4 linked regions of the Astyanax mexicanus genome follow. Each later gene encodes a partner of the first gene's protein in a complex. Links are inferred from orthologs where the notes say so. Each region holds a gene or a part of one and is shown in the gene's direction. Other genes may lie near its edges. The genes, in order: drc1, ccdc135, efcab2 and gas8.

The links.
Region 2: drc1 (region 1) and ccdc135 share a complex: the UniProt entries of both Homo sapiens proteins name them as parts of the nexin-dynein regulatory complex. The link is inferred for Astyanax mexicanus from reciprocal best matches to the Homo sapiens genes DRC1 and DRC7.
Region 3: drc1 (region 1) and efcab2 share a complex: the UniProt entries of both Homo sapiens proteins name them as parts of the nexin-dynein regulatory complex. The link is inferred for Astyanax mexicanus from reciprocal best matches to the Homo sapiens genes DRC1 and DRC8.
Region 4: drc1 (region 1) and gas8 share a complex: the UniProt entries of both Homo sapiens proteins name them as parts of the nexin-dynein regulatory complex. The link is inferred for Astyanax mexicanus from reciprocal best matches to the Homo sapiens genes DRC1 and DRC4.

Annotation. Positions count from the first base shown.
Region 1 is NC_064408.1:51,791,823-51,799,744, reverse strand, and holds the start of drc1 (dynein regulatory complex protein 1), read left to right. Parts: upstream 1-4,899; 5' UTR 4,900-5,049; coding exon 5,050-5,162; intron 5,163-5,273; coding exon 5,274-5,361; intron 5,362-5,898; coding exon 5,899-6,011; intron 6,012-6,105; coding exon 6,106-6,289; intron 6,290-6,960; coding exon 6,961-7,098; intron 7,099-7,444; coding exon 7,445-7,531; intron 7,532-7,651; coding exon 7,652-7,774; intron 7,775-7,922. UniProt on the Homo sapiens protein: Component of the nexin-dynein regulatory complex (N-DRC) a key regulator of ciliary/flagellar motility which maintains the alignment and integrity of the distal axoneme and regulates microtubule sliding in motile axonemes.
Region 2 is NC_064417.1:7,192,596-7,200,234, reverse strand, and holds the start of ccdc135 (dynein regulatory complex subunit 7), read left to right. Parts: upstream 1-4,616; 5' UTR 4,617-4,723; intron 4,724-6,548; coding exon 6,549-6,715; intron 6,716-7,639. Other genes in the region: lcat (phosphatidylcholine-sterol acyltransferase), read right to left, coding at 806-962, 2,368-2,515. UniProt on the Homo sapiens protein: Component of the nexin-dynein regulatory complex (N-DRC) a key regulator of ciliary/flagellar motility which maintains the alignment and integrity of the distal axoneme and regulates microtubule sliding in motile axonemes.
Region 3 is NC_064421.1:67,556-75,113, forward strand, and holds the start of efcab2 (dynein regulatory complex protein 8), read left to right. Parts: upstream 1-4,545; 5' UTR 4,546-4,622; coding exon 4,623-4,647; intron 4,648-6,045; coding exon 6,046-6,124; intron 6,125-6,223; coding exon 6,224-6,296; intron 6,297-6,745; coding exon 6,746-6,825; intron 6,826-7,125; coding exon 7,126-7,168; intron 7,169-7,351; coding exon 7,352-7,418; intron 7,419-7,558. UniProt on the Homo sapiens protein: Component of the nexin-dynein regulatory complex (N-DRC), a key regulator of ciliary/flagellar motility which maintains the alignment and integrity of the distal axoneme and regulates microtubule sliding in motile axonemes.
Region 4 is NC_064416.1:13,274,929-13,281,831, forward strand, and holds the start of gas8 (dynein regulatory complex subunit 4), read left to right. Parts: upstream 1-3,895; 5' UTR 3,896-4,084; coding exon 4,085-4,087; intron 4,088-4,283; coding exon 4,284-4,376; intron 4,377-5,724; coding exon 5,725-5,922; intron 5,923-6,018; coding exon 6,019-6,225; intron 6,226-6,347; coding exon 6,348-6,402; intron 6,403-6,853; coding exon 6,854-6,903. Other genes in the region: tcf25 (transcription factor 25), read right to left, coding at 14-96, 217-282, 395-522, 648-719, 957-1,073, 2,602-2,814. UniProt on the Homo sapiens protein: Component of the nexin-dynein regulatory complex (N-DRC), a key regulator of ciliary/flagellar motility which maintains the alignment and integrity of the distal axoneme and regulates microtubule sliding in motile axonemes.

The DNA of each region.
Region 1 (7,922 bases):
TACTACTTCTACTCCTACTACTACTAATAATAATAATCTAATAATAATAAATGATGATGAAGATTATATAATATTATAAAATATTATTACTATAATATGTATGTATACTGAATATAGCTATATTCATAAAAATATCAAGCAATTTATTAAACCATGTCTAAGAATTCACAGCTCTCGGGATATCAAAATAATTTATTTAAAAGTGTGTGAAAATTTCATGTGCACATCTGGGAAAACTCACCCCATAAAGACATCCCAGTGAAATCACAACCTTCACACTGTTTTATTTTCAAGTGACTGAAGACACGTACTAAATGTTCAGTAATGAATAATATTTAACTCACCTAATATTTGTCATATTGTCTCCATACTTACCTTGCATCTTGTCAAGGCAAAATTTGGTCAAATATCATGGCAAATAAAATAAACAATGTCACTATAATTAAAATCGTTTGCTGCACCTCTAGATCAAGCACGTTTTAATTGCATGGTAATTTTCCTTAAGTAATTATTTTTCATATTTGTAAGGGTCACAAGGCACAATATTCTGATAATGTATCAGGTCTGCTATTCCACTTACATGCACTTGATGTCAGTGTTAGACATTGAACAAAAACCCTGGCAAAGAAACAGAAAATAACTAAAATGTACTAAAATGACTATTCTCCACTCTGTTTTCCATTTGCAAAACCATACTGCACTTCCTAATATGCAATTTTTAATTAGCAATACACAGAAGACACTCTCCAGTGGTTTTTATTTTCCAAATTACACACGCAAACACACACACATGGCTGAAGTCCATTCCATCTTTTGAAATTGTTGTTGTTTTTTTGTACAGTAGTCACAGTCTGACATGAGCAGGGTAATGCTTTACATCTAGCAAATGTTTCTGAAGTAAAATTCAGCATAAATCAGTGCACTGTCATGATCTGGACTGATCTACTACAGCAGGGGTATTTAATTAGGATTCAGTTTGGTCCAGTTACGCCAGGCTGAGGTCCGGACCGTCGCCATTTTTAACTTGTGTTATGATTTAGTATTGTATACTGTATACTGAAGAAGCCTAGTACTTCTGTCAGTGTTTTATGTCATCAACAACTGAAAGACAAAACAAATTACACATACTAGTATATTTCAACAATATGTATTGTTTTAAATAGACCTGTCACAATAATTACATTATCACCCTATCATAAAATTAATGGAAACACCCTAAATTTATCGAGAATGTGAATCTGTATGTTAACTTTGTTTAAAAATGCTATATTTATTCAATTTGATTGTATTTATATTAGATTTAGGCCTGCCTGTCATTATAATTACGTGAATGGCAAATCATACAATATATGAAGAAATGTTTGCTGAACTTGGCCAAAATATCAGCTTAAAAAAAAACAGTAGTTTTATTTTATTTAATATTATTACTGTATCAGACTTAATTATGTTGTGGGTAAAACTGATGGGGGAAGTTGCCAATGCTTTTTGTACCCTGGGCGTTGCCGTAGTTTTGAGGTAGGGTTGTTTTGGGAGTAGAGAGAGCGCGCCTGCGAGCGAGGGAGTTTTTTTCTTTCTGAGGAGTTCTGATCAGGTGGAGTAAAGTGGAATATTTTGGACTCTTGTCTCGGTTGTTTCTCTTTAATTCCTCCAAGTAACACCGCTCTATTACATTACTGCTAATATGTTTTATAAAGGTAGTATCTTAATGTATTTTTCTGGTGCGCACCATCTGTATTCTCATCTTTTCTCGCTTTATTCTCCCACTTCTCACCGCCTGCTTCGCCTGTGTGGCTCCGCGCGCTCATATCTGCACAGATCTGATTGGTACGGTGGCCGAGAAAGCCCAACGCAGTGCAAATGGAAAAGCGCTGCAAAAGCACAAAACACATCCATCAAAATTACAACACAGGCGCAGCAACTAGAAAAACGCGCAGCAACTAGAAAAACGCGCTGCAACTAGAAAAACGCGCTGCAACTAGAAAAACGCGCTGCAACTAGAAAAACGCGCTGCAAATAGAAAAACGCGCTGCAAATAGAACCACAACACAACGGAAGTGAGTCACAACACAAGGGAATATTCCCGGGGGACCTGTACCAGGTACTGTACCAGCTAAGCTGCGTCTTCAGTAATGTCTCGGACTTCACTATGTGTACAAAGGACAATAAGTGGCAAACAAGGCGTTTTGTGAAGCAGAACTTTTAATAAACATAACTTACTTTTCAGAAGCTTGTTTGCCACTTATTGTCCTTTGTATACAGCTGGTACAGCATCTTTTAAGGTCCCCCGGGAAAATTCCGTTGTGTTGTGACTCACTTCCGTTGTGTTGTGGTTCTATTTGCAGCGCGTTTTTCTTTTTGCAGCGCGTTTTTCTATTTGCAGCGCGTTTTTCTATTTGCTGCGCCTGTGTTGTAATTTTGATGGATGTGTTTTGTGCTTTTGCAGCGCTTTTCAATTTGCACTGCGCTGGGCTTTCTCGGCCACCGTAGCATAGGATTGGCAAAGGAGAGCGTTTTTTACAGCACACGTGATTGGTCAGTAAATTTACTGCGCTGTAAAGCACGTAAACCATAAAGACCATAGGCGTAGGAACGGGGGACATGTCCCACCCAATATCAGAAACAGGTGGATTTGTCCTCCCCCAAACATTATACCGCAGAACAATGGCGTCGCCAGGAGCGAATCGTTTCTCTCAGCTCAGCTGTGTTTTTAATGAGTAGACAGAATGCTGTGTAAATGGAAAATCTCTTAGCGCTAATCACGGAGCCGCCGGTTCAGAAAGAAAGTCACTCCTCTTAAGAGAAACAGCCAATCAGCTCGCTGGTTTTGCGAAGCGCGGAGGATTGCTGTGGAGGATTTGTAATGTTTTCTTTTTAAGGGGTGCAGCGGGGCTGACGATAAAACATATCTGGATATACAGCTATTTTTCTAAAAGAAAAGTAACGGATCTAACCATGTAAACTGTGTTGAGATTATTTCTGATAGATGGTTAAAAATAAACGAATCAAAACCCACAGATCATACCCTCTGTGAGCTTGTGATAGTCATTGTGATTTGTAGATTAGGATTGCAGGATTACTGTAAATTTTAATGAAGAACAATTATTTTAGCTAGCTTAACTACTTAGCTAAAAACTGGATTTAGTGGACAGCCAGACTTCAGTACAATACTTTATGTTGGTAGTTTGAAGCAGTTTCTTATCCCTGATCACTGGACTAAAATTGTGTGTTTTCACCAGATCCAGCTCATTAGCTACTAAACTAAAATCTATTATATTATTTTAAACATTAGGTGATACCTCATCAGTTTTTTTTCTCATATATGTATTTAATTCAGACATTGCACGCATATTGTTTTCTAACAACTGTAAATGTAAAGTGGAGTAACATGTTTAGTTTGTAAAGTGACCTTTACTTGGATGTAACTAATAATAAACAGAAGTACAGAAAATAATGGTTTATTTGTTATTAAAGGTAATTCCACAAACGTTGTTCTAAAAGACTATAATAAGACAATAAACGTTCCACCGCTTTAAATAAACGCTGTCAGAATTAAATCCTTCTCAGTAGTTTATCGGTTTGGGTCCGCATTGTACAACGTCTGGGTCCAGACCCGGACCGCAGTCCGCATATATGTGGCCTAGATCATATACGGTTTTGTTTTATAAAACCACTCCTTGCTGCCCTGCAGAGAAACAGGTTCAATGTTCAGTTTTACCGTGTTAAATATTGCAGGTCAAGAAAGACTTCATTTATTTAATATTTTTTTATAAAGCAAGTATTTATGTTAAGTTAAATCAAGAAAGTTAAATCAAGAAAGACCATATTTTATTAAATATATATATATATATATATATATATATATATATATATATATATATATATATATATATTAAGTTAATTCAAGATAAATGGTCTTTTTATTTTTATAAAAAAAAACTTATTTTTTCAGGAAATAGTTCAACTTTAAATGTCTAGAGATACATTGTTGCTGTTAAAAATGCATTTCTATTAAAGGGAGTATTGGCAAAACTGGTTATAATTTTTATGTTAAGGCGGCAGGAGGTGGTGTCTGCAGCTGCTGAAAGTAACTAATAAAGTAACTTCTAAAGTAACTTAGTTACTTTTAAAATCAAGTAATCCATGAAGTAACTAAGTTACTTTTTAAAGGAGTAATCAGTAATCGGGTTACTTTTTCAAAGTAACTATACCATCACTGATTATATGATACGTAGGAACCAAAGAAAAGTATTTACAGAACATAAAAAATAAACGTGAAAGAAATAAAAGAAATAAATACTCAAACAATAACAAACTGTTGTTTATTCAAATATCCATCAGCAGGACTAAAGGCTCTGTTCCTGCAAGGTTAGATATCTATCTATAACACTGCTGAGTTAAATTTACAAACTCTTAACACTTGGTAGTTTTGTTCACCCGTCAAAGCACACTCGATGTAATGTGTGGCATACAGAAATTGAACACTGTCACTTTTAGAGAGTGCATATACGGACATTACACTCGACATTTAGCATGAAACCACCCAATCTGGCAACACTGCGAGCCGGTGTGCGCTGTTAATTTGAGGTGTCTCTCCATGTAGTTAATTAATGAGGATTAATGTTTGTAAACAGTGTAAATATAGCAGAGATTACTCCATGATCAGCTCAGAGCTTCACTTAACTTAATTCAGTTCAGTGAGTTTATGGAGTTTTAAACATGGCTCAACCCCCACCTGTGTGTGTTAATGCTACCGGTGCTGGCGCCTGATAATGAAACTGAGTGTCCGAATTCACTCCTGTGTACCCCTATGTAGTGCGACACTTTTAAGGGAGTAGGGAGCCAGTTTGGTCACAGCCCACAGCCCCCCCTTCACTGAGTTCTCTCTCGCGGGCTCCCTCTAGCGGGCCTCAGTAATGTTTTGATAGAGGGGGGCTCTGACTGTTTCATAGCAACGCGGGTAACAACAGTGAATTCAGCCCAACTCTGTGAAACTCACCTGTCCTCTCCCTCATTTCCTCTTTTCTTCTGCTCCGCTGAGTTACAGGGGAGATGTCACGGGCGGGCCCGGGCGAGCTGAGCCCCGCTGTGGAGTCCGACAGTCCGGAGGAGCGGATAGCGGCGCGCCGCCTCCGGATAGCCGCGCGGACCGAGGCCAGGACCCGGTGAGTCCAGCCTGACCTTCACTGACTCTTCTTAAACTGAATAACCTTAACATAACTAACTGTCTTCTCCAGAGATCTCCTCTCTGATCCTCTCTGAACTGTGTCTGACAGACTGGAGCTCGGGGAAGAGGCTCAGGAGCAGGAGGAGAACACAGAGGAGCCCCGGACCAGCCAGAAACAAGTGGATCAGAGTGAGAAGGTAATTAGATCAGAACAACCTGATGACTAAGAGGTTTATTAACCCTCAGGAGGGTTTTTTTCTGATTATCTGATTATATCTGTTATTACATCAGTTAACCTAGCTGATTCGTGCAGATATCTCCCACACAAAGTTATCTCTCCGTTTTTTTAAGAACACTACGATGTAGCATCATCAAAAAACCACAAGGTGTCCTTCATGTTGCAGAAAACATTATACAGTACACAGCCATATTCAGCCTTATGCAAAAAGCACCTATTTAAATTAAATCTTTTTGGCCTTTTGTAAACGCCAAATGGCAGTATGAAACGTAAAATATTTAATTAAAGTGTTTGAATGGTTAAACTGGTTGGAAGAGACCCGTAAAAGGTGTTTTTTTCTCTTCTTCTTTTTTGTTGCTGAATGTTCAGTTGCAGAGTTCTGACTTAACTTTACAGCACTTGTTTTTTTTTTACTTATCTGGCTTGTCTAGATGTGAATCTCTTATCAAGTGTACAGAACCTTTGTGCTTATTTACATATCTGTAAATCTCTGCAGCGTATGCTTAAACTGCAAACTGATGGCACAGAGTTAGTGACCAACATCTTGGTGGCAGCAGATGCCAGAGAGACAAAGAGGAGAGCACAGCTAGCGGAAGCACGTAGATTAAGGTAAACACTCAAACACACATCCAGAGATGATTCCACATACTCATATAAATGCGTGTCTCATGATAACACATCTTATGTTAATAATACTGCACAGAAATGAAAAGTTGGAGAACGAGGCAAAATCCAGCCTTGAGAAGTTCGAGGAGGTCACTCAAAATTGGCCTGTGGCCAAAGCAAAGGAAATTCCTCAGGATCTGAGAGATGCTCTGAAAAGCCAGCAGCAGCTCTGCATGCTGATCACTGAAGACAAGAATAAACTCATCAATGAACTGCAGCACGTAAGAAAACAAATGCACACACACATAGATATAACCATGTTTTTGAGAACATTTTTTGGATTATACAGTACAATGGGAGTAATACAGAAATGACAGAAATTAGACTAATATTAAGAGAAGGAAAAAAATCTTAGCTACATTGGAATTAGTAAAATAATGCTCTTGTAAAAGACTTTTGTTTGTTTTCTTTTTAAGTTTGTCCTGAAGTTAAGTTTTAAAATGTGCAAATACGTATATATAATGCATTTGGCATATACCATTAAGTGCCTAAGAAAATTCTTACAATCATTATTCTGCACAACAATGTGTTTATGCATTTTTAAAACACAGTGTTACATTAACAATTGTGAGCTTATTAAAAGGACACTGGTTTGCTTCCAGATTTCTTCTCAATGCTATGATTTAAAATTCACCAGCAGCAGCAGTTCACCTGATATAACTTAATAGAGCAGTGATTAATCAAAGTAGGTACTTTACAAGAACTACAAAGAGTGTTATAGTTCACAAAATTCATAAATCCTCAACCTAAAATATTGTGTCTCAAAATGTGACTAGATGTGACAAGAGCATGTTTTAATGTTATGTTTTGTTTCTAAATGTTGTGTTTTTATACCATGGCGTATAACATCACAGATTCAAAAGATATCATAAATACATTTGTGTTTGTGAAGGAACTAAAATCAAGTGATGACCGTTATGTGAAAGAGCTGAAAAAGCAGGCAGAAGACGTGGATCTCATGAGAGAGAAAATGCAAGAGCAGATGACGTCTCTGATGAAGTTGTATAGACAAGAGCTGGATCTGATCGAGGTGTGGTAATACTTTCTGCTGTTGGGAGTTCAGCAACAAGCATATTCATAAGTCAGCATAGTTCATACATCTAGTAGCTTGGTATCCAACAGTAACACAGGAATCTACAGGAATCACTTGATATATTAATTCTTTCAATATTTTCTATATTAAAACACACAACACAGTATAGATTTAAAGGTTATGGAAAATACAACACTATGCTATTTTTGTGGTCAGAATGCAGAAAATGTTCTTTTGATACTTATATTTGTGAAGATAATGCCCTACATTATATCATTACACCAAATATGTAGTTATCCAGGACTCTTGGACTCACTTATCTTTTTGCCTGGTGATGTTACAGAATTCATTTGATGATGAACGAAAGACTCTGCTCACAAGCAACTTGAAAAAGTGGGAGCAGCAGAGGAAAGAGCGGAGCGACAGAGAGGTAAAAGGCAAAAAGACTTCAACAGCCATTATTTTACTACACAATGCATACATCAGAGATTCAATAATGCTATTGGTGCTAATATACGTGTCTACCCTCTGATTCTATGTATGAGAGAAGCTGGAGCACCTACTGCAGAGGATTAAACAGAAGGAGGAGAATGAGGTTCTGCTGCATCGACTAAGAGTTGCAAATATAAAGGAGTACAACATGATGAAACTCAATCTAGAGACTCAAAGCGAGGTATACTATATTACGCTTCAACTGTTATAGAGAAGGAAGTTTGATTCATTAAACCCTATGTTTATTATAAAATTTTGTCCTAATGCACAAACTATTTGGAAATGTTAAGTAAAAGTTTGAATTTGCATATTTTATGATGTCCCAGATG
Region 2 (7,639 bases), on another chromosome or scaffold:
AAGACACACAGTGAGTCATTTTTTTGTGAAATGTTGTCAACTGGGGTCCATTTGTCGTCATCATGTTTGCTGTTTGAGAACTATCCAAAAACAACAGACAAAAGGTTAATTGCTTCAGCAACTGGAGGGCAGCCATAAAATCTGATAGCTGGGCATTTACCCCTGTACCTGCCAGTCAAAAAAGCATTATTCAATGGACAGATGGGACAGTGTTTGAATTGTAAAGATGGTTTCTGGTCAAACTAAACCTAAACCTAAACTAAATGGGAGTTTTAATTGTAGAACACCTTCCACATTGCAGTTTACTTACCCAAAATATTTTGGGTAGGGACTGTTTTTGGTGATTTACCACCATACTAAATTTAATCTGGGCCTAAAAAACTGGTTCTCCATTTCCAGTGTGAGTTAGGTAGCACAAGGTTATTAAATATATCAGTGAAGGTTTTTTAAGAACCAGTGCCATGTTGATCCCTGCCAGAATTCTTACACTTTTAGGGATGTTTTGCGAGTGGGAAAGATGGTAAATCTGCCAGTCCCCAGTGGGATGCTATACATGTGCACTGACCTTTCCTAGGGTATTAGGGAAAGAATGTGGTGGTGTCATGGGAGTGAGTTAGGACCATCCATATGAAGGCCACCTGGATTGAGTTATCATAGCCCAAATGAGCTGGCAGCTTTCTTTTCTCACAAATATACATAAGTGTAAGAAAATAAATATTATTATATTGATATTAACATATCAAACCCTTAACTCTTAAAATACCTACATTTTAACCTATGTAAGATGTGCTATTCAATTCCTCACCTCATGTTATCAATCCAGCAGTCAACACCAATAGGCATGAACATGTTGAGGTCGATCCACAGGGGAAACCAGTCCTCAGATTTCTTGTAGCATAACCAGTGGACCAGTGAAGGCTTGTCAATCTTCGCTTCAAGGCGATTTCCCAAATTCCCAGGCACTAAATCATCAGGGTCAAGGAGTTCAGGAGAGTAATAGTTCAAATGAGACATTTTCATAGCCCATGAATTTTCACTACAGAACATAGTGGCTCCAGCAGTGGAACCAATCTATGTCCAGGACTACCACCAAACCAGTTCAAGCTATGCTGCCAAGCTATGTCCAGTAATGCCTCCAAACTATATCCAGCAATGCCAACAAATTATAACGAAAAATGCTGCCAAACCATGTCCAGCAAAACCTTCAAACTATGTCTGGTAATGGCACCAATGTCCAGCTAGTCCACCAAACTATGTTTGGCAATGCTTCCAAACTATGTCTGGTAAAGGCACTAATGTCCAGCAATGCCACCAACACCAAACTGTCTTACTCTAGTAGTGTCCCCAAGCTATGTACAGAAATGTCAGCAAACTGTGTCTGGCAATGCCACCAACTTTATCCGGCAACAGCAGCAATGTCCAGCAATGCCACCCTACTTACTCCAGCAATGTCACCAAACTATGCCCAGCAGTGTCATCAAACTATGTCCAGCAATAGCATTAAATCATAACAGGCAATGCCACCAATCTATTTCTAGTAATAACACCAAACCATATCCAGCAATGCCACCAATTTATCTACAAAAAACTGTGTCTGGCCATGCCACCACTGGCTATGCCATCAACCTATGTCCAACAATGCCACCAAACCACATCCTCTGATGTCACCAACTATATCCAGCAATGTCACCAAACTCTATACAGGTATGCCACCAAAAAATATGTACAAGGATGTCAGCAAACTGTGTCTGTCCATGCCACCAAAATCTATCCAGCAATGCCATCAAACTATGTCCAGCAATGTCACCCAACTATATTCAGCAATGCCACCAAACTATGTCTGGCTATTCCATCAAACATTTTCCAGCAATGCCATGTCTTGCTATGCATTCAAACTACATTCAGCAATGACACCAAACTATGTCTGGCTATGTCCAGCAATGTCAACCAACCATATCCAGCAATGCCACCAAATTATGTCTGGCTATGCCATCAAATTATGTCCAACATTGCAACCCAACTATATTCAGCAATTCCACCAACTATGTCTGGCTATTTAATCAAACTTTATTCAGCAATGCCAGCAAGCTATGTCTGGCTATTCCATCAAACTTTTTTCAGCAATGCCACCTAACCATGTCTTGCTATGCATTCAAACTACATTCAGCAATGTCACCCAACTCTATCAAGCAATGGTATTAAACTATATCCACTAATGTCAATAAACTATGTACAGGAATGTCACCAAACTGTGTCTGGCTATGCCATCAAAGCATTTCCAGCTATGGCATCAAACCCAAACATAAATGCTGTCACACTATGATGTTACTAAACTATATCTACTATGTTACCAAAGCGTTATCTTACCTATGATGAGTGGTGGAAGTGTGCTGTTACTTGGTACACGAGGTTTGGCTGTAGGGGGGAAGATCACGTTCAGAAGCCAGAAGGCTGAACACTGATGAAGGGCAATCAGAACGATGATCACGGAGCTCAGCGCACGCGAGCCCTGCATGATTTCCTCTCCGTGTGGCTGGCTCTCCGGTAACGGGCTGGGCTGACTTTCTGTCTGAGCCCGGAGCAGTGGAGGAGTTTTAATGCTGAGGGAGCGCCAGGGGGCGATGAGGTCAGCGCAGCAGGTAAATATGAGCCGGACAGGACACAACAAGAAACGCGCTTAAATACCACATATATATATATATATATATTATATTATATCTTTTCTCTCTTTCGTTTTTATAATTATTGCCCTGCAGGCTATGAACATAAATATAATAGCCAATGCAGTGATATTTTAATATTTACAATTGGTGTAGAATAACTAATATTATCATTATATTCGAATATAATATTCTAATATTATTGTAGGAAATCAAGAAGGAGCAGCTGCATCTTTTTACTTTCAGTGTTTCTTTTTTGTCCTTAGAACCCCCCCCCCCCCCCAAACACACACACACACACACACACACACACACACACACACACACACACACACACACACACACACACACTGTTATATAAACACCCCTGGAGTCCTAAACCAAACCTTATTTAACCACATGAACCAAAATGAACTTTTCTGACTGCTTTTAAAAAAAAAACCTTAACAGTAATGCATTCTCGTTGGGATCTGTCGCACAGAACCAGTGTCCTGGCTCTATTGATCGTACTACTGGGCAGTTAATCATTTACAGCTGGGATGAATGTTAGGTTCATTAATACTCCTGTAGTACTCTCACTCTGCTGAGAGATGGGTAATGCAGAGAATAGACTACCCACGTGCAATCTCCCCGTTATATTAGAAAATGACTGTAAACCGCTAGAGGGAGCCCGCGAGGGAGTTCAAAATGAATGGGTGCTAAATGGAGCTAAATGGCTAAGAACTCAAATTACAGTTTTTCTCTGTCACTTTGAAAAATTTTCTCAGATTTGATTGAATTTGGTCAAATTACACATTATTTTTTCACGTGTGCAGAACACAGATAACATTTCTTATTAAATTATACAAGCAGCAAATGCTTTAAAGTGCTATGGCAAATTTATTCTGTACAACTGGCACAGTATGACTGCCTAAGATAGATAAACGTGTATGAGATGAGAAATATGGGCCTTTTACTTAGAATTAGCCCAGTCTCACTGCAAGAGTATAAATCTAAATATCACTATAATTCATTCCAAGATGAAAATATATAGAAACCAATCCACTCTCCGTTTTCTTACAAAAGATTATCCTTGGATTGGAGCTTTGATGTAATATTCAGTTTCTTCATGGGCATTTATTTACAGAACAGCAAGCTTTATTATTCGACTTAATTATTATAAGCCGTGGCCACGCCTTAGGATCTCATTCCCATGCCTTACTAAGTCGTGGCCACACATTGTTTTATTTTAACATGATGTCACCTCCATACGAGAAGAGTGTCTCTTATAATCTATTTTTACACACACAAAATTAAACAGCAATCTTTATTCTGTTATTGTCTGACACGGTTCCCGCTCCTGATACATCCTTTGTATGTGTGTGTGTGTGTGTGTGTGTGGCCAGTCAGTCATGGATTACATTAGCATTGAGAAAATTCTTAAGGAGTAAACTGATACACTACTACATGACTAATAATCATTTGATTGTTTAAAAGGTTTGTCTTCGGTGCTGAAACATGTTATATTTTTCTGTGTTGTGGAAATTAGTATATTTTTCTGTGTTGTGGAAATTAGTATATTTTGGGTATGAAAATAATTAGACAATTATAAACCCTGCTCAGTTGCTTCATTCATTTTGGACTCATTATACGACATATCATTTTTTGATTACTAAAACACGTGTTACATGATAACCATAAATAATACCAGACTCCTAATAAGGAGAGATTTGAAAATATTTTATTAAGCATAAATATTTTTGAGTTAACATTTAGTATTTATTCTCATATATCGTTTTAGATTTTAGTTGTAATTATTTTCACATGTGCCAAAATGTTTGCACAGTAAACGTGAAATATGTGATTTTAAAAAATAATATTGGTTAAATATGTTTTAAAATCTAACGTACGTGAGCTCGTGAGTATCCACGAGCCAATCCAAGCACAGGAGTGAGCGCCGGAGGGGCGGGCTTTGGGAGAATGCGGCTCGCGGATTGGTTTAGGTGGTGAAGGGCCATGGGCGGGGATTTTGTCGCTTATGGAAACCGAGTATAAACAGTTCCAGCGTTACTGAGGAGTAAAAGGTAAGCGGTTCATACTAACGTAAATATCTCATATAGTAAACCAGAATAGTCTGTATTATATACAGCTTTACTATGTAGTGAAGATTGTAAAACAAGGGTTAGTGTGTGCACGTTTTCTAACTGTCTGTAATCTAAATATATTTAGCTGTGATATTCTGTTTTTTTTGGGTCTCACTCACATTTAACAAATAACGTTACAGCTCTGGAAAAAAAATAAGAGACCACTTCAGTTTCTGAATCAGTTTCTCTGATTTTGCATAGGTTTATGTTTGAGTAAAATGAACATTGTTGTTTTATTCTATAAACTACAGACAACATTTCTCCCAAATTCCAAATAAAAATATTGTCATTTAGACCATTTATTTGCTGAACTGTTTGGATACAAAAATCAAGCAGTTCAGCTTGGTTTGATGGTTTGTGATCATCCATCTTCCTCTTGAGTATATTTCTTAGGTTTTCAATGTGGTAAAATCAAAGAAACTGGTGGTCTTTTATTTTTTTCCAGAGCTGTATAAGTACTGATTTTTACCAGGGCACTTGTATTTATTTAAATTATCAAAACAGTAAAATCTATCTTTCCAAGAGCAGAGCTCTGGTTAAAAACAATATAAGATACATATAAGATACATACATACAGGTACATCTGAAAAAATATAATATTATTGAAAAATTACATTATTTCAGTAATTCAGTTAAAAATGTGACATATATCATAAAGATGCATTACACACAGAGTGATCTATTTTAGGAGTTTTTTTCTTTTGTTGTTGATGATTATGGCTTACAGCCAATGAAACCCCCTGGAAAATGAAATCCTGTGATCTTATTAATTTTACAATGTAAAAAAATATATATAAAAAGAAAGAAAAAAGTGTAATGAGAAGAGGTGTGTTCAAACTTTTGACTAGTACTGTATATAGCAGCAACACATTATCAAAAAGAAATTCAAAGTAAAGTCATTGACATCTATCACACTTGCCTCAGATAAGGTCAATGTTAATAATTCAATAAAAAGAAAGAGACTGGGTGAAACGGACGTCCATGAAAGAGTTCTAAGGCAAAAACCACTGCTGACCAACAAGAACACAAAGAACATTGCTTTGCTTCTTCAGGAGCTGGACAATTGCTATAATTGATGGAACCATGAATCCATGAACCATGATGCTCTCTACCAAAAACTCTAAAGGAGAATGCCTGGCCATCAGTTTGTGACCTTAAGCGTAGGCGTACTTGGGTTGTGCAGCAGGACAATTATCCAAGGCATATCAGTCTACATCTGAATGGCTTAAAAAAAAGTGATGTGGCTTGATTTTAAACAGGCTGTTTATGCTCAAATACCTTCCAGTATGGCTGAATTAAAATAATTCTGCAAAGAACAGTGGGTGAAAAAGATTCATTTATCGCAAATGCTTGATTGCAGTTGATGCCAAGGGTGGCACAGCCAAGTTATTAGATTTGGAGGCAAATACTTTTTCACATAGGGCCAAGTTGGTTTGGATAGATTTTTGCTTTTTATATTTATATATGTTATATTTGTTTTATATTAAAATGTGTTTGTTAATCTGAAAGCTAAACTAAATCTGTAGGGGGCAAATACTATTTCACAGCACCGTATATTCTTCAAAAGGTATGTTTTTCACACAGTTTGGTCTTGCTGTATTTGCACAGTTTTGCTCTTATCTAATGTTTTTCATGCTTGCCATCTGCCAGTTATGTTCAAGAGCTAAAGCAGGTGTGTTAGAAAACATGAAAGCCTGAAAACATGAATCGGTGGGATGGCAGGTCCCCTGGACTGCAGCATGTGCCTTGTTTTCACTCCTTGTAGATGGAGATGCTGCCGGAGGTCGAGCCTGAGCTGGAAGAAGCTGAGCTCCAGGAGGAGGAGGCAGAGCAGGAGGAGGAGGAGGGAGGAGAGGATGGAGGTCTGAGCGAGTTACGGGAACTGGAGGAGACGCTGGCCAAAGTGCAGATAGCCCCCTCAGCAGCCCAACTGTGAGGTTACTATAGTTCGTTGGCGCTTGGTAAACTCTGTGCTTGTGTTAAAGTGAGCCGGTATCATGGTTATGCCACCCCGACTGTTTGCATTACACAATCACTGACTGCAAACATGAAGATGTAATGTCTCATACACGCTGTGCTGAGGGGGAAAACACACTCAGGAAGACCACCCAAACAAAAATCAATAGGCTGTGTATTGAGTATGGGGTTACTAAAGGTCAACATGTGTGTTAAGATAGCAAACAGTGGCTTTAGCATGCTCTTAGCATGTTGTGGTCTTGAGAAAACCATAGGAAGTCCAGATTTCAAGCATGATGAAAACATGGCCTCACATCTGGTGGTCAAGTTAACAACACACCTAATGAGTGTTGCTTTTCTTTAGTAGTCTAATAATAAGTAATATATAGCTGAAAGTAAGATTCTGACAGAATTTTATGTGTTTCCTAATGAAAGAGAAGATCACTCAACCTTTTTACACAGTGATGCTTGCTGTATAAAATCTAGGTCACCAATAAAAAACCTTAAAGCAGAGTGATTCACAAAATCTAAAACAATCCAGAATAAACAACAGTGTTGCTTTATTAATCTTCTTATGCTAATTGGGAAACACATGTTGTTTTGATATAGGAAGCTGCATTTTTGCTTAAGTTTGCCTGTAAGCATGTTAACATGCTGCTTAAAAGTGCATTTTGTTCTATAGCCATATGCCGTAGTATATACTAGTGCATCTCAGAAATTAGAATATCATTGAAAAGTTACTTAATTTCAGTAATTCAGTTCAAAATGTAAAACCTTACTACATTATATAGATTTATTACACACAGAGTGATATATTTTAAGTTTTTTTTTTATTGTTGATGATTATGGCTTACAGCCAATAAAAACCCAAGAATATTATATAAGACCAATTGGTACTTT
Region 3 (7,558 bases), on another chromosome or scaffold:
CCTCTGACCTCCTGCCACCTCCCTCTGACCGGGATCAGCGCTGTGGGTCACATGACACACCTGAGTGATGTCAGGAAGCATGTGGGGCTATGTAAGGAGGGGGAGGAGTTTCTGGGGAACGTTCTGGAACGGGTCCTGCCACTGGTCAGGGCGCCGGACAGAACTGTCCTGTCGCTCTGCTGGCTGCAGTACGAGAAGCTGAAGGTCAGTCAATTACTGATATACATTAAATACTGTACTCAGGTAATTCAGTACTGAGTAACAGTTTATCCAGTACAGCGCAAGCGTGAAACATGTGACCTGTGAGATTATTTGAACTGTAGTAAACGATAATTGCGGTGCGTGTACAGCAGCAGCAGTAAGCGGTTGCGGGTTGCGGCGAGGGAAGCGGTGTGTGTAATGTGTGTATAATAAGTGTGTGTGTGTGTGTGTGTATTGCAGGTGTTGCGGTGTGTGTACAGCAGCAGCAGTAAGCGGTTGCGGGTTGCGGTGCGGCGCGGGAAGCGGGTGGGGAAACGGTTACTGAAGCTGCCGGAGAACCGCAGCAGCCTCAGCCTGTGGCGGGAGTACGCTCACCTGCAGTGGATTGTGGGTAATGTGGAGGAGGGGCGGAGAGTGTTCGACACGGCACTCGCAGTGGGAGGGGCTTCAGGACTGCAGGACCACACCCTCTGCGAACTCTGCCTTTTGTACGCCCAGTTAGAGGTGGAGCAGGCGTGCATGGGCGGAGCTAAAGCCTCCGTGGCTCCGCCCACTGGCTCTCGGGCTGTCTATGTTCTGAGCAGGCTGGCGGAGGGGGGCGGGTACAGCGGGTTCTCAGGGCAGGTGAGCCCGGTGTCGGTTCTAAAGGCCCGGAAAGCGTACGAGAACGCCCTATCAGCAGCTGCAGAGGGCGGGACACCACGGAGTGCTCTGATTGGCTGTTTCGGACTGTTCCAGTACCTGACGGTGGGGATTGACGCTGCTGATGCGGTCTTCACTGAAGCCAGAGAGCGGCTGACACCCGGCACTGCCACTGCCACTGCCACTGGCACAGAACCCGACCCGTCACTCAGAGAGCGCGAGGCCGTGTGCGTCCTGCATGTGGCACTGCTGCGGCTGCACTCCAGCACCAGCGCCTTCCCCCTGTCCCGCCTCCGGATGGCGCTGACCGACGCCCTGCGCCTCCTGCCCTGCAGCGCCACCCTGTGGCACTTCTACCTGCTGACCGAGAGCCGTTACCATAGCGCCGGCCGCGCCCGCAGGTTCTTCCACACCGTCGCCAGGGGCAACCAGACCATCATACCACACCTGTTCTCCATCACCGCAGAGCAGCGGAGGAAACAACACCTCGACTCCGTCATCAGGTCAGAACAGAACTACACAAACACACACACACTACACACTGTACACACACACACACACACACACACACTCTACACACACACACACACACTATACACACTAACCCCTCCCGTCTCTCTCTCAGGTTGGGTCTTCCAGCCGATGCTCTGCCAGTGATCCCGGAGACGGGCCTTAGTAACCGTATCCGCTCACTGTTTGAGGTTGCCGTGGCGACGGAGGAGGGAGCCCACTGCCCCCTGCTGTGGAGGATGTACATGAACTTTATGGTAAAACATCTTTCCCTCTTTTGTCTGTTAACCCTAAAGTGTATGGGTTTCAGGGACGGGGATGAAGATGTTGGTGATTATGGTGATGATGGTGATAATGGTGATGAATGGTGATTATGGTGATTATGGTGATGATGGTGATGATGGTGATGATGGTAATAATGGTGATGATGGTGATTATGGTGATTATGGTGATAATGGGATGATAGTGATGATGGTGATGATGGTGATGATGGTGATAATGGGATGATGGTGATTATGGCGATTATGGGGATAATGGTAATGATGGTGATTATGGTGATGATAGTGATGATAGTGATAATGGCGATGGTGATTATGGTGATTATGGTGATGATAGTGATGATAGTGATGATGGTGATAATGGTGATAATGGCGATGATGGCTATGGTGATGATGGTGGTGATGGTGATGTTGATTATGGTGATTATGGTGATAATGGGATGATGGTGATAATGGGATGATGGTGATGATGGTGATGATGGTGATAATGGGATGATGGTGATTATGGGGATAATGGTAATGATGGTGATTATGGTGATGATAGTGATGATAGTGATTATGGCGATAATGGCGATGATGGCGATGGTGATTATGGTGATGGTGGTGATGGTGATTATGGTGATAATGGGATGATGGTGATTATGGTGATTATGGTGATTATGGTGATAATGGGATGATGGTGATTGTGGTGATTGTGGTGATAATGGGATGATGGTGATGATGGTGATAATGCTAATAATGGTGATTATGGTGATAATGCTAATAATGGTGATTATGGTGATAATGGGATGATGGTGATGATGGTGATGATGGTGATAATGGGATGATGGTGATTATGGTGATTATAGTGATAATGGGATGATGGTGATTATGGTGATAATGGGATAATGGTGATGATGGTGATGATGGTGATAATGCTAATAATGGTGATTATGGTGATGATGGTGATGATGGTGATAATGGGATGATGGTGATTATGGTGATTATGGTGATTATGGTGATAATGGGATGATGGTGATTATGGTGATAATGGGATAATGGCGATGATGGTGATAATGGGATAATGGTGATGATGGCGATGATGGTGATAATGGGATAATGGTGATGATGGTGATGATGGTGATAATGCTAATAATGGTGATTATGGTGATGATGGTGATGATGGTGATAATGGGATGATGGTGATTATGGTGATAATGGGATGATGGTGATTATGGTGATTATGGTGATTATGGTGATAATGGGATAATGGTGATGATGGTGATGATGGTGATAATGGGATAATGGTGATGATGGCGATGATGGTGATAATGGGATAATGGTGATGATGGCGATGATGGCGATAATGGGATAATGGTGATGATGGTGATAATGCTAATAATGGTGATTATGGTGATTATGGTGATGATGGTGATGATGGTGATAATGCTAATAATGGTGATTATGGTGATGATAGTGATGATGGTGATGATGGTGATAATGGGATGATGGTAATGATGGTAATGATGGTAATGATGGTGATTATGGTGATGATAGTGATGATAGTGATGATAGTGATAATGGTGATTATGGCGATAATGGCGATGATGGCGATGGTGATTATGGTGATGGTGGTGATGGTGATTATGGTGATTATGGTGATAATGGTGATGATGGTGATGATGGTGATGATGGTGGGTGTGTGCAGGTGTGTAACGGGGACACAGAGAGAGGAAGAGGAATCTTCTATAAAGCTCTACAGAACGTCCCCTGGGCTAAAGTGAGTCCCTCTCTATATATACGTATAGTGTGTGTATATTTATATGGTGTGTGTTTGTATGTGTTATTTATATATATGTATTGTGTGTGTGTGTGTGTGTGTTATTTATATGTATATATATATATATATATATATATATATATATATATATATATATATATATATATATATGTATTGTGTGTGTGTTTTATTTATATATATGTGTATATATGGTGTGTGTGTGTGTGTGTGTTATTTATATATATGTATATATATATAATGTGTGTGTATGTGTGTGCGTTTGTGCAGTGTGTGTATATGGACGCGGTGCGGTTGTTTCCGGATCGGGTTCAGGAGTTTTTGGATCTGCTGGTGGAGAAGGAGCTCCGGCTCCGAGCGCCGATGGAGGAGGTGGAGATCCTGCTGGAGGAATAAACGCCTACACTACCCACAATGCACCAGACCTGCGGACCCTCACATACCTTTATTTATATTTTATTTGGATATGAAAATGGTAATTTTGTGATAAATGTATATATTTATAGTCTGCAGTGTCCGGGTTTTATTTTTTAATGTTTTTAATTAACGTCTTTAATAAACATCGATTTCTGTAATAAATACAGAACACAGTACTGTACTTTACTCTCAGTACTTCAGTACATTTTACTGTAAACTACTCCAGTATTGAAATACAAATAATGTTAAATACTTCTGTACTTTTACTGAAATGTGGAGCTTAAAGAACTTTAGCTTCCACATCCTGAAACATCTGATCCCACCACTGATCCCAGAACAGCAGCAGCTCAGGAATATTTAACAGTGATGAAGTAATGTCATGTAATAAAGTACTGTAATGTAATTAAGTACAGTAATGTAATAAAGTACTGTAATGTAATTAAGTACAGTAATGTAATGAAGCTCCAGTGTTGATCTTCTGGAGATCTGGAGATTTCTCCTGCACAGTTCTGTAATCTGAGCTGCATTGGGGGGAGGTGGTCTTAATGTTTTGGCTGTACATTTCATATTTCATTAAGCTTAATTTAAATATAAGATTTATATTAGAACAGTTGCATTATTACTTTAATCTATAATCTAATTTATAATCAGATTTTATATAAAACTCAGTCTTTTCTGTGTTGTGCAGAATTTAGAGCTGATTGTAGTTTAGTGGGCGGAGTTTGGGGGGGTTGCACTATCTGGCAACCCAGCTACCAGCAGCGCGTCCGTATCTAAGCAACCAGATCCGCGGTGGAATGGCGGAGGAGCGCGCGCTTGCAGGTAAACATCGGGTTCTCTTTATTAACTCTTTAAACCGATTAATCAATTAATCCAATTACCGATTAATCTCGAACCGCGGCGTCACTGTCAGCGCGGCTCTGCTGGGTTGCCAGATATTAACGCGTTTTTATTTCAGTGACCTGATGCAGAGAAAGTAGGAGAAACAGCGCTGTTTAAACACATCCACGTTCCTCTGATTCATTTACTTACGTTTAAAAATAAAAATAAATAAATCATTCTCTAAATCCAGCGACAAGATCAATAATCTGGCAACACTGGAACACTATAACACTGCTCTGTAACAGTAAAGAGTTACCCAACGCACTTTTAGTATTAATATAAAAAAACTGAAAGCACTTTACCATTTAGAATAAAATGCATCTAATTCTATACCCTCTCTACATCTGTACACACTCATTTATTCACCTCTAAATCACTTTTAGTGCATAAAATCACCTATTAATGTTCCCAGATAAGAAAAAAAAACACCAACAGCTCCAAATCTATAGGATTTACACATCTAAATAACGGGGGTGTTCACTTTGAATCATGGGGAAAATTCACACCCATTAATATTATACAAATCCTGTATTATAACTCTATTATATATTATATTTTATATATTTACAAATTTACTAGCATTTCAGCAACGGTGTATGATACAGCTAGGTGGCAGCAAACACACGCACTTCCTTTATATTTACAATACAGTGTCGATTCTCCTGTATATTTAATTGTAAAAATGTAATATACTGTATAATTGGCACTCTATCCAAATTTCTAAAGTGCGTGTGTTTGCTGCCACCTAGCTGTATCACATACAGTTGCTAAAATGCTAGTACATTTGAAAATATATAAAATATAATATATAATAGTCAAGTCAAATGTATTTCTAATTTAAAAACCACAAATACCAACCAAAGTACTGTACAATACAGAAGTACGAACAATTAAATATATAAAACTAAACAACAAATAAGATATAAGATAAATAAAAAAGTAGCATCAGGAAACAAGATTCAGATTAACCCCAGACACTCAGAACTGAACACACTGAAAGTCCTGAGAGTACAGGTACGATTTTAGATTAGTATTAAAACAGTGATGGAGGGAGATGCAGATTATTCCACAGTTAAAGCTCTGTAATCTTCTGACTTCAGTTCAGGAGTTTAAGCGTCTCTAAGAGCTGCTGATTTTTAGGACTCGTCGGGTTGAATATGGATGCAGAAGGTCGGAGATGATGGTCTGATGGAGACGCTGTTAAAACTTTAATTATAAATTGACCGACAGTCGGTACAGGAAGTCCTGTACAGGAGAGATGGACTCCCTCTCATTAGTCCCAGTTAAGAGTTCAGGAGGTTCTGAAGGTTCTGATCAGGAGGTTCTGATTGTGTTCAGGTGTGTCGGAGGTCCAGAAGAAGATCCGGAGCGCGTTTGATGTTTTTGATCATGAACAGAATCAAACTGTGGACGTCAGGTTGGTTCTGATTCTGCAGATTATAGTGATGTAGAGTTCTGAGTTCTGATCGGGTTCTGTAATGAATCTGATCCGATTTGTTTGTTTGTTTGTTTTTAGGGAGATCGGGACGATTATTCGTTCTCTCGGTCGATTTCCCACCGAAGCTGAACTGCATGACGTCATCGCTGAGGTCAGAGCTCATTTACATATTTCAGACATATTATATTAAATCTGCGGCTGTGTCTTTTATACTGGTTTATATACTAAGTTATATACTGGTTTATAGGTTACAGACAGGTTTATATACTGGTTTATAGACTGGGTTATATATATGTTTATAGACTGGGTTATATAGAGGTTTATAGACTGGTTTGTATACTGATTTATTTACTTGGTTATAGACTGGTTTATATACTGGTTTTTAGACTTGTTTATATGTTATAGACTGGTTTGTATACTGTGGTTTAGATTGATTTCTATACTGGTTTATATACTGATTTATAGACTGGTTTATATGCTAATTTATATGTTATAGACTGGCTCATATGTTATAGACTGGGTTATATAGAGGTTTATAAACTGGTTTATATACTCGTTTATAGACTGGTTTAATGAGCAGTGCTGGAAATGTTGTTACAGATCGAGGAGGAGGAGCCAGCGGGCTTCATCCGTTTTGAGAAGTTCCTGCCGACCATGTCCCGAATCCTGATGGAGAACAAGTAACTCTTGATCACTGCGTTTACACTGAACTGATTAATCTGAATTATTTCAAACTCCAGTTCTGATTGGAGGTTCTGATCAGAAATTCTGATCGGAGGTTCTCATCGGAAGTTCTGATCGGAGGTTCTGATCGGAGGTTCTGATCGGAGGTTCTCATCGGAAGTTCTGATTGGAGGTTCTGATTGGAGGTTCTGATTGGAGGTTCTGATCGGAGGTTCTGATTGGAGGTTCTGATCGGAGGTTCTGATTGGAGGTTCTGATCGGAGGTTCTGATTGGAGGTTCTGATTTGTTCTGTCAGGTTACGTCCCGTTCCTGAGGATCTTCTGCTTCAGGCGTTTGAGGTCAGAAACTCTTACGTTCATCTTGTTCAGATATTAATTTAACTTCAGCGGTGCAAAAGCACACAGTCTGAATCCTGTAGAGCAGGAGATCAGGAGGGAGATCAGGACTGTGTGCTAAAGGTGTTTATAGAGCGAATCTGGTTGTTAAATTAAATAATAATAAATAATATAAATGTGTTTCAGGTTCTGGATCAGCAGAAGAAAGGACACCTGGATCCGGAGGAGCTCAGCAGATATTTAACACAGGAAGGTAAATCCAGCACTTAGACTTTAGCTCCTCCCACTGCCGGTGACATCATCAGATATGTAAAGTTTACTGAAGATTAATTAGAAATTCCTGACTGTGTTTCGAGTCTCAGAGCTGAGGGTGGTGTTGTGGGTGGTGCTGAG
Region 4 (6,903 bases), on another chromosome or scaffold:
ATATCAGGCATACCTGGTTTACTAAAGCGAGGCCAAGTGTCTTTAGGTGCGGTCATCCATGTACTTCTGTGAAACTGCCTCTGTCGTTGCCTGGGCCTGAAAGGAAAAAACACACATACAAATTAACCAAAAAACAAGCCACAATAAAAAGTGACGGTCTTACAGTACATGTATGTGCATGCTTAAAAAACATCGAAAAATAGAAACCAAACCAACCTTTGGTCTCCCAAAACAGCCCGAGCTCCAAAATATCGCTTTAGTTCATTCTCAGGATTCAGGTTCCTAATAGACAAAAGTTAAGTTAAAAGTTAAAAGTTAACAGCAGCAATTTCTGAAACTGTAAAACAAAACGTATGCCATCCTTCAAACATTCAGAACTACAAACAGCCTTCACCTGTGCTCCACATAAAGTACAGGCCTATGGCCTGAGACTCCACTGTCCTCACTCTGGTGTGAAAGGCCATTGGTCTTTTCTATGGTCTCCAGCAGAGCGTCAATGTCATCCCCTGCAGTGGACTCCTCCTATGAAGATTTAGAAGATAGTAAGAGAAGAGGAAGAACAGAAACACAAGCAAAACCTCCAGTGTTAAAATGTTCTGTTTTACACAAGTTTATATGATATGTAATATATACAGTGCATGTCATACCTGCACATCCCCAGGAGCAGTCTTTTTTTTCTTCTTCTTCTTTTTCTTTTTTACTTTCTCGTTAGAGTCAGACTACAAAATAAAAAGAAAAGATAAGAATAGGAATGCTATGTTTAAATGGTTCTGTTTGTGATCAAATTTGCCACTAGATGTCATACAGAGCACCAGCATCTCAGGTCAGAACAAAAAAATGCAATTAACACAAGCCTTAACTTTGCCACGCATGTTAAAGGGTTGACTTGAGTCTCTTTAGAGAAGAATTTAACAGTTATTTGTCCGTTTTTAATTAATGGTAATGTAGTTTTAAACCTTTGTGGTCTCCATATCAGGTTGGCACTCTTGCTTTTGTACTCCATGGCTTCTCCCTGTCAACACGTTCTCCTCATCAGTGGGACTTTTGTCTGTATCATTGTCAGGGTCACCAATCTGTAACAGCACAGAAACAAATAAACATCCACCCTGCTAAGAAAATTATATAAACTGATAGAGGCAGTCACTCAATGTTTATTAGCAAAGATAGAAAATCAAGATATCTGTAATGCAGTTATCCTAATAGAGGTGCTAACTTTGAAAATCAATTATGAAATATTTACTATCAAAAATATCTGATCTAATGATCTATAAATATATACTGCCAGGATAGCATATGCCTTATACAATCTGAATCATATCATGCCATTGATTCTCATTTGCTCATATATACAATTACCTTTTACAGCTTCAGTTACAAAAATACTAGTGCATCTCAAAAAATTAGAATATCAGTGAAAAGTTACTTTATTTCAGTAATTCAATTCAAAATGTGAAACTGATATATCATATAGATGTATTACACACAGGGTGATCTATTAAGTGTTTATTTCTTTTTGTTGATGATTATGGCTTACAGCCAATGAAAACCCAAAAATCAGTGTCAAAATCAGAATATTATATAAGACCAATTGGTACTTTTGGAAGTGTGGACAGTGTGCCAAGTCCTACTGGAAAATGAAATCCTCATCTCCATTAAAGTTGTCAGCAGAGGGAAGCATGAAGTGCTGTAAGATTTTCTGGGAAAACACTGCCCTGACTTTAAACTTGATATAACACAGTTGACCAACACCAGCAGATGACATGTCTTTTCAAACCATCACTGATCATCAGTAAATTGTACATTTCATTTGGAAATCAAGGGATCAGAGTCTGCTGGAAGAGTGGAGACACACACAGTCCAAACTGCTTGAGGTCTAGTGTGACATTTCCACAATCAGTGATGGTTTGGAGAGACATGTCATCTGCTGGTGTTGATCCACTGTGTGTTATATCAAGTCTAAAGTCAGTGCAGTTTTGTTTTTCCACAAAATCTTACAGCACTTCATGCTTCCCTCTGCTGACAACTTTTATGGAGGTGTGAATTTTATTTTCCAGTAGGACTTGTACAATATGTCCATAAAATCCAGAGTTCTAATATATTTTAATTAATTAATATGTGTACCTGGATTTTTTAATAGAATAGAATACTGATGGTGTATTTTGACATAATGGTGTATTTTTGATTGTCTCAGACATCTGAGTTTAAAAAAAGAAAGAATTTACTATACAATCATATTCATCTTCTGGACCAACCGTGTCTCTTATTTGTGTATAGTAATGTTTATAATTCTATAGCTATATCTTTAATTGGACTTAAAAAGTACATGTTATGTAATTGTAGATGCCAGGAAGTGATTAAAGTAAACAAATAGTACTAATAATAACAGTAACAGTATTACTGGTTATATTGATGATGATAATAGGAGATTCTGGGAGTATGGCTGGTCAGTGTGGAGTTTCATAAGTTTGTTTATATCTGGAATAAGAAGGTTTAGCATTACAGAGATCCTGAATTTGAGTTTTATTGTATTAGTAAGAACTCTGGTTATCAGCAGTCAGTCTGTATCAGTCTTTAGCTGTTCAGTGTTATTAAAGTTCTGACCAGTTCATAAATGTTGCTAATGTTCTTCTGAGATTTGCTCCTCTTGGTTTTCCTGCCTGCTCCTCTGACCGGCTGCAGAACCTCCTCCTGCTCCTCTAACTCCTCTCCCTCCCGCGCCGCCTCCTCCTCCTCCTCCACCCGCAGCTCCGCGAGGTCCAGGTCCTCCTGGCCGCGCTGCTTCCCCTTCAGTCTGCGCAGCGCGCGGCTCGACATCTTCACAAACTCCCTAAAACCAGCGGATCTGCAGCAGCTGCGCCCAACTGAGACCCCACCATAACCAGCACCACCAGCGACCCAACAACACGCCTCCTGATTGGACAGCAGTACGGAAACGCTGTCACTGTCACTACCGGAAAACAAATAAAAGTCCCACATGTTAATACAACCAGAAAACTTTTTTTTAAGTATTTTTACAACCAACATCTCAAGCACATCAAAACAAAAACATAAATAGACAAACAAAATAAACAGAAAAAAGTGGGATTCAAATTAATTTAAAATATCGAAGGATTTATGTTTTTTTCTATTTTTAATTTGTCCAAAAATTTCCAGTAAGTAATAATAATTATTTAGGTCTGAATAAATAAAAGTTCGGAATAATGGTATCTATTACAAAGTAAATATAAAGTCAAATCACTATAATTATATTCATTAAGAAAAAATAATTGCATTTAGTAGAAGAGAGCTTTAAAGAATCTTTATAACTTTTGTTTTGTTGAATATATATGTATATTTTGTATTGTTTTGTTTTGTATTTTATTATGTTAGTTTAACCTAATTAAAACTTGATTTTATTTATATTTTATATATATATATATATATAAAAATGTAAAAGCATTAAAAAATCAACTAACCTAATTAATATTTAATTAGATTTCATTTTTAAAGAATTAAAATTATTTAAAAGTTGGACAAGCTAAAATAAAACAATTCACTAAATAAAAGCAGTCAAAGTAAGAGATCATTAATTAGAACAACAAAAAAAAGAACATAACCCCAAATGTAAAATCTGAGTAAGTAAAAATAACACTAACATAACAGTGAAGAAGGATAGGGGTAAAATTATTACAGAAGAAAAATATTAAATTATTATTATTAAAGCAAAAAGAATAAACATAATAATTACATGTTCATAATATATATCGTCCTTTTTTCGTAGTATAAATAAGAATAAATGATTAAAGATTCCTCGCATTGCTTAAAAAAACAACAAACACTTTCTGCTTGGGAATATTTACTGAGTGAGTGTGGAGAGTCTGCAGGGCAGCTCCACGCTGCAGCGACTCATTTCTATTCTCGCGAGATCTGAACTGGTTTCCATGGATCTGGTTTGTTGTTTGCAGACCATCAGCACAGGAGAGCTGTAGCTAAACTATCTAAAGCTAAATCACGAGAATATCTGTACAGTTTCTCTGCAGAAACACCCGAATACACACTGCCCTCATCTGACTGACCAGTACTAGCTACTTTACACACATACAGCATGGTAAGTGTGATTTAACAGCGTTAATTTGTTAGTTAGCTAACGTTATATAGGTTATATATCGGTATAGCTAGTGGAGGAGCTATCTAACCAGAGAGTTAGTTAAAGCTGTATAGACTAACAGTACATCATTAATGTGCGGTAATGCAGTGAGAATGGGTATTTGTAACATTATCCTCTCCAAATGTTCATATTTCAGCCTCCAAAAAAGAAAGGAGGGAAGACTGCGAAGGGCAAGAAGAGCCCTACAGTGGTGGATGGACTTTCCACAGAGGAAATGTCGAAGGAGCAGGTAAACTAATATTTTAGCCAGTTATAATGTCATTATTACTGTTTGTGTCTTCAGTGATAATTATCTAACAGGTTTCCAGCAGATTCAAAGGCTACTAAAGCTTTATAGTTTGTTTTTAAGGTTCCAACAACAATGAGACAGAAATTCTAAACGCATGTTGCCCCCCCTGTGGAGCAATGGAACTGAGTTTTTAGGAATGATGGTTCTCCATTTAGCACTTCTAGGGTGGTGAGTTGTTGAGATGGGGGTGAGGTGGGTTACTGTACAAAGGTGTGAAAAGTATTCACATTTAATATTCAAGTATAAGTATAGATACAAGGGTTTAAAAATACTTCTGTTTAAAAATACTTATTTTTAATCAAGTAAAAGTGTAAAAATACTTGTTTCAAAACTGCTTAAAGTATCTAAGTAAGAGTAATGTTAGGGGAAAATGCATTTAAATGCACATTTTTTTAAATGAAAGGAGTAGAAAGTACAGATAGTAGTGTGAAAATGTGAGGAGTAGAAAGTACAGATAGTAGTGTGAAAATGTGAGGAGTAGAAAGTACAGATAGTAGTGTGAAAATGTGAGGAGTAGAAAAACAGATAAATGTGTGAAATTGTGATGAGTAGAAAGTACAGATAATTATGTGAAAATGAAGGAGTAGAAGTTACAAGTCATCTTAAAATAATTACTCCAGTAAAGTATAGATAACCAACATTTCTACTCAAGTAAGGTAACAAATCATGTATACTGTGTAATATGACACTTCTGGGTGGTGATCATCCAATATCCTGTTCTCACTAACACGATTGTGGCTAAATGCAATAAAATCCCAACAGCAATGATCCAAAATCTATAATAAAGCCTTCCCTGGACAGTCGAGACATTTACTCCAACAAAAGCTCTATGAACTCTATTTATAATAATAAAATAAGCAGTTGTCCATATATTGTATATTGACTTTAAAGTGACAGTCCATAGGTTCTGGTGAGGATGTGAATTTGCACTGAGCATGCTAAAAGTACTTTTAAAATGTGCATTTTAGGCAAAGTCTTTTTACCAGAGTTAGCGAAACTGGTGACTGTTTGCACTCTCCTTAATTCACCAGTTCTCTCCTGGTCTATTTCTGTGTTTCTTTGGTTTAGTGAGATCTGAATGAGCTGATAAAGACTGTGTTTGCTGTTCTGATATCGTTACATTCACAATAGTTTTTTGTATCAACATCATTATTAGCACTATGGTTGTTCATGTTCTATGACCTACCAGACACCCTGTTTTTAGAATGAATATATGTGGCTTTGCAGGAAGCACACTGATGCCAAGTATTAAAACTAAAACTACGTCATTATCTTCATTCTTCATTAGTTGGAGGACCACATTGTCCGCTTGCGTGAAGAGCTGGACAGGGAGAGGGAAGAGCGCAACTACTTCCAACTGGAACGAGATAAGATCCACACCTTCTGGGAGATCACCAAAAGACAGCTGGAGGAAAAGAAAGCAGATCTCAGGAACAGGGATCGGGAAATGGAAGAGGCTGAGGAACGCCATCAAGTTGAGATCAAGGTATCAAGAATGATAATGAGAAGCTCTGGCACATGAAACACTGAAAAAGTTTAGATCTATCATGAATGATCTAACGGTGTTCGTTCTGTTATTCAGGTGTACAAACAGAAGGTGAAACACTTGCTGTATGAACAGCAGAACAGCATCGCAGAGCTCAAGACAGAGGGAGTGGTCACCACCAAACTGCTGCAGAAGGAACATGCAGACCTGGAGAATGATCTGCGGAAGGGCATTCGGAATCTAAAAGTGGATATCAAGGAACAGGAGCTTTCCAGTGAAAATCTGATCAAGAGTCTTAAACTGGTGTGTGAATGCTCAGCTTACAGCTAACATGACAGTCAGTGTTGATAGACTTTAGGCTGATAAGATGTGGACTCTTTTTTAGTTAATGCTATGCAGTTACTAATCATACCTTCTTTTCCCAGAAACATGATGAGGAAATTACCAAGATCAGGAATGATTTTGAACGACAAGTACGAGGTGATGTATCTCACCCTTTTTTATTTGCTTTTATATTAGAGTAAATATTGTAATGTTACAGGCTATATCTCTCTTTTACATAATGTACTACTGGTCAAATCATTTACTAATTAAAGGATTTTTTAATCAAGTGAATAAACCTGTCAACAACTTAGAGCAGATCTGTTGCATTGGAAGTAAATTAACCCTGATGCAAATTTAATGCAAACAATTTACTATTTACAGTCCCTTTCTCTGTATAAAAACAGTGTTGGAACAAACAACAGTGTTTCACTACCACAGTATTTACACAACACTCTACATTCAGATCGCTCATTACTCATTATGACTAAAAAAAGACACTTAAGTTTTAGAGGTTTGATCACTTGGACTACTGAAAACATTTAGGGTCTAACTGTTCTCATACTTTTGACCAGTAGTGTAAATTATGCTATTTTGTTTTCTCTTGCAGAAATAGAGGCTAAATATGAAAAGAAAATGCTGGCTCTGCGCCAGGAGCAG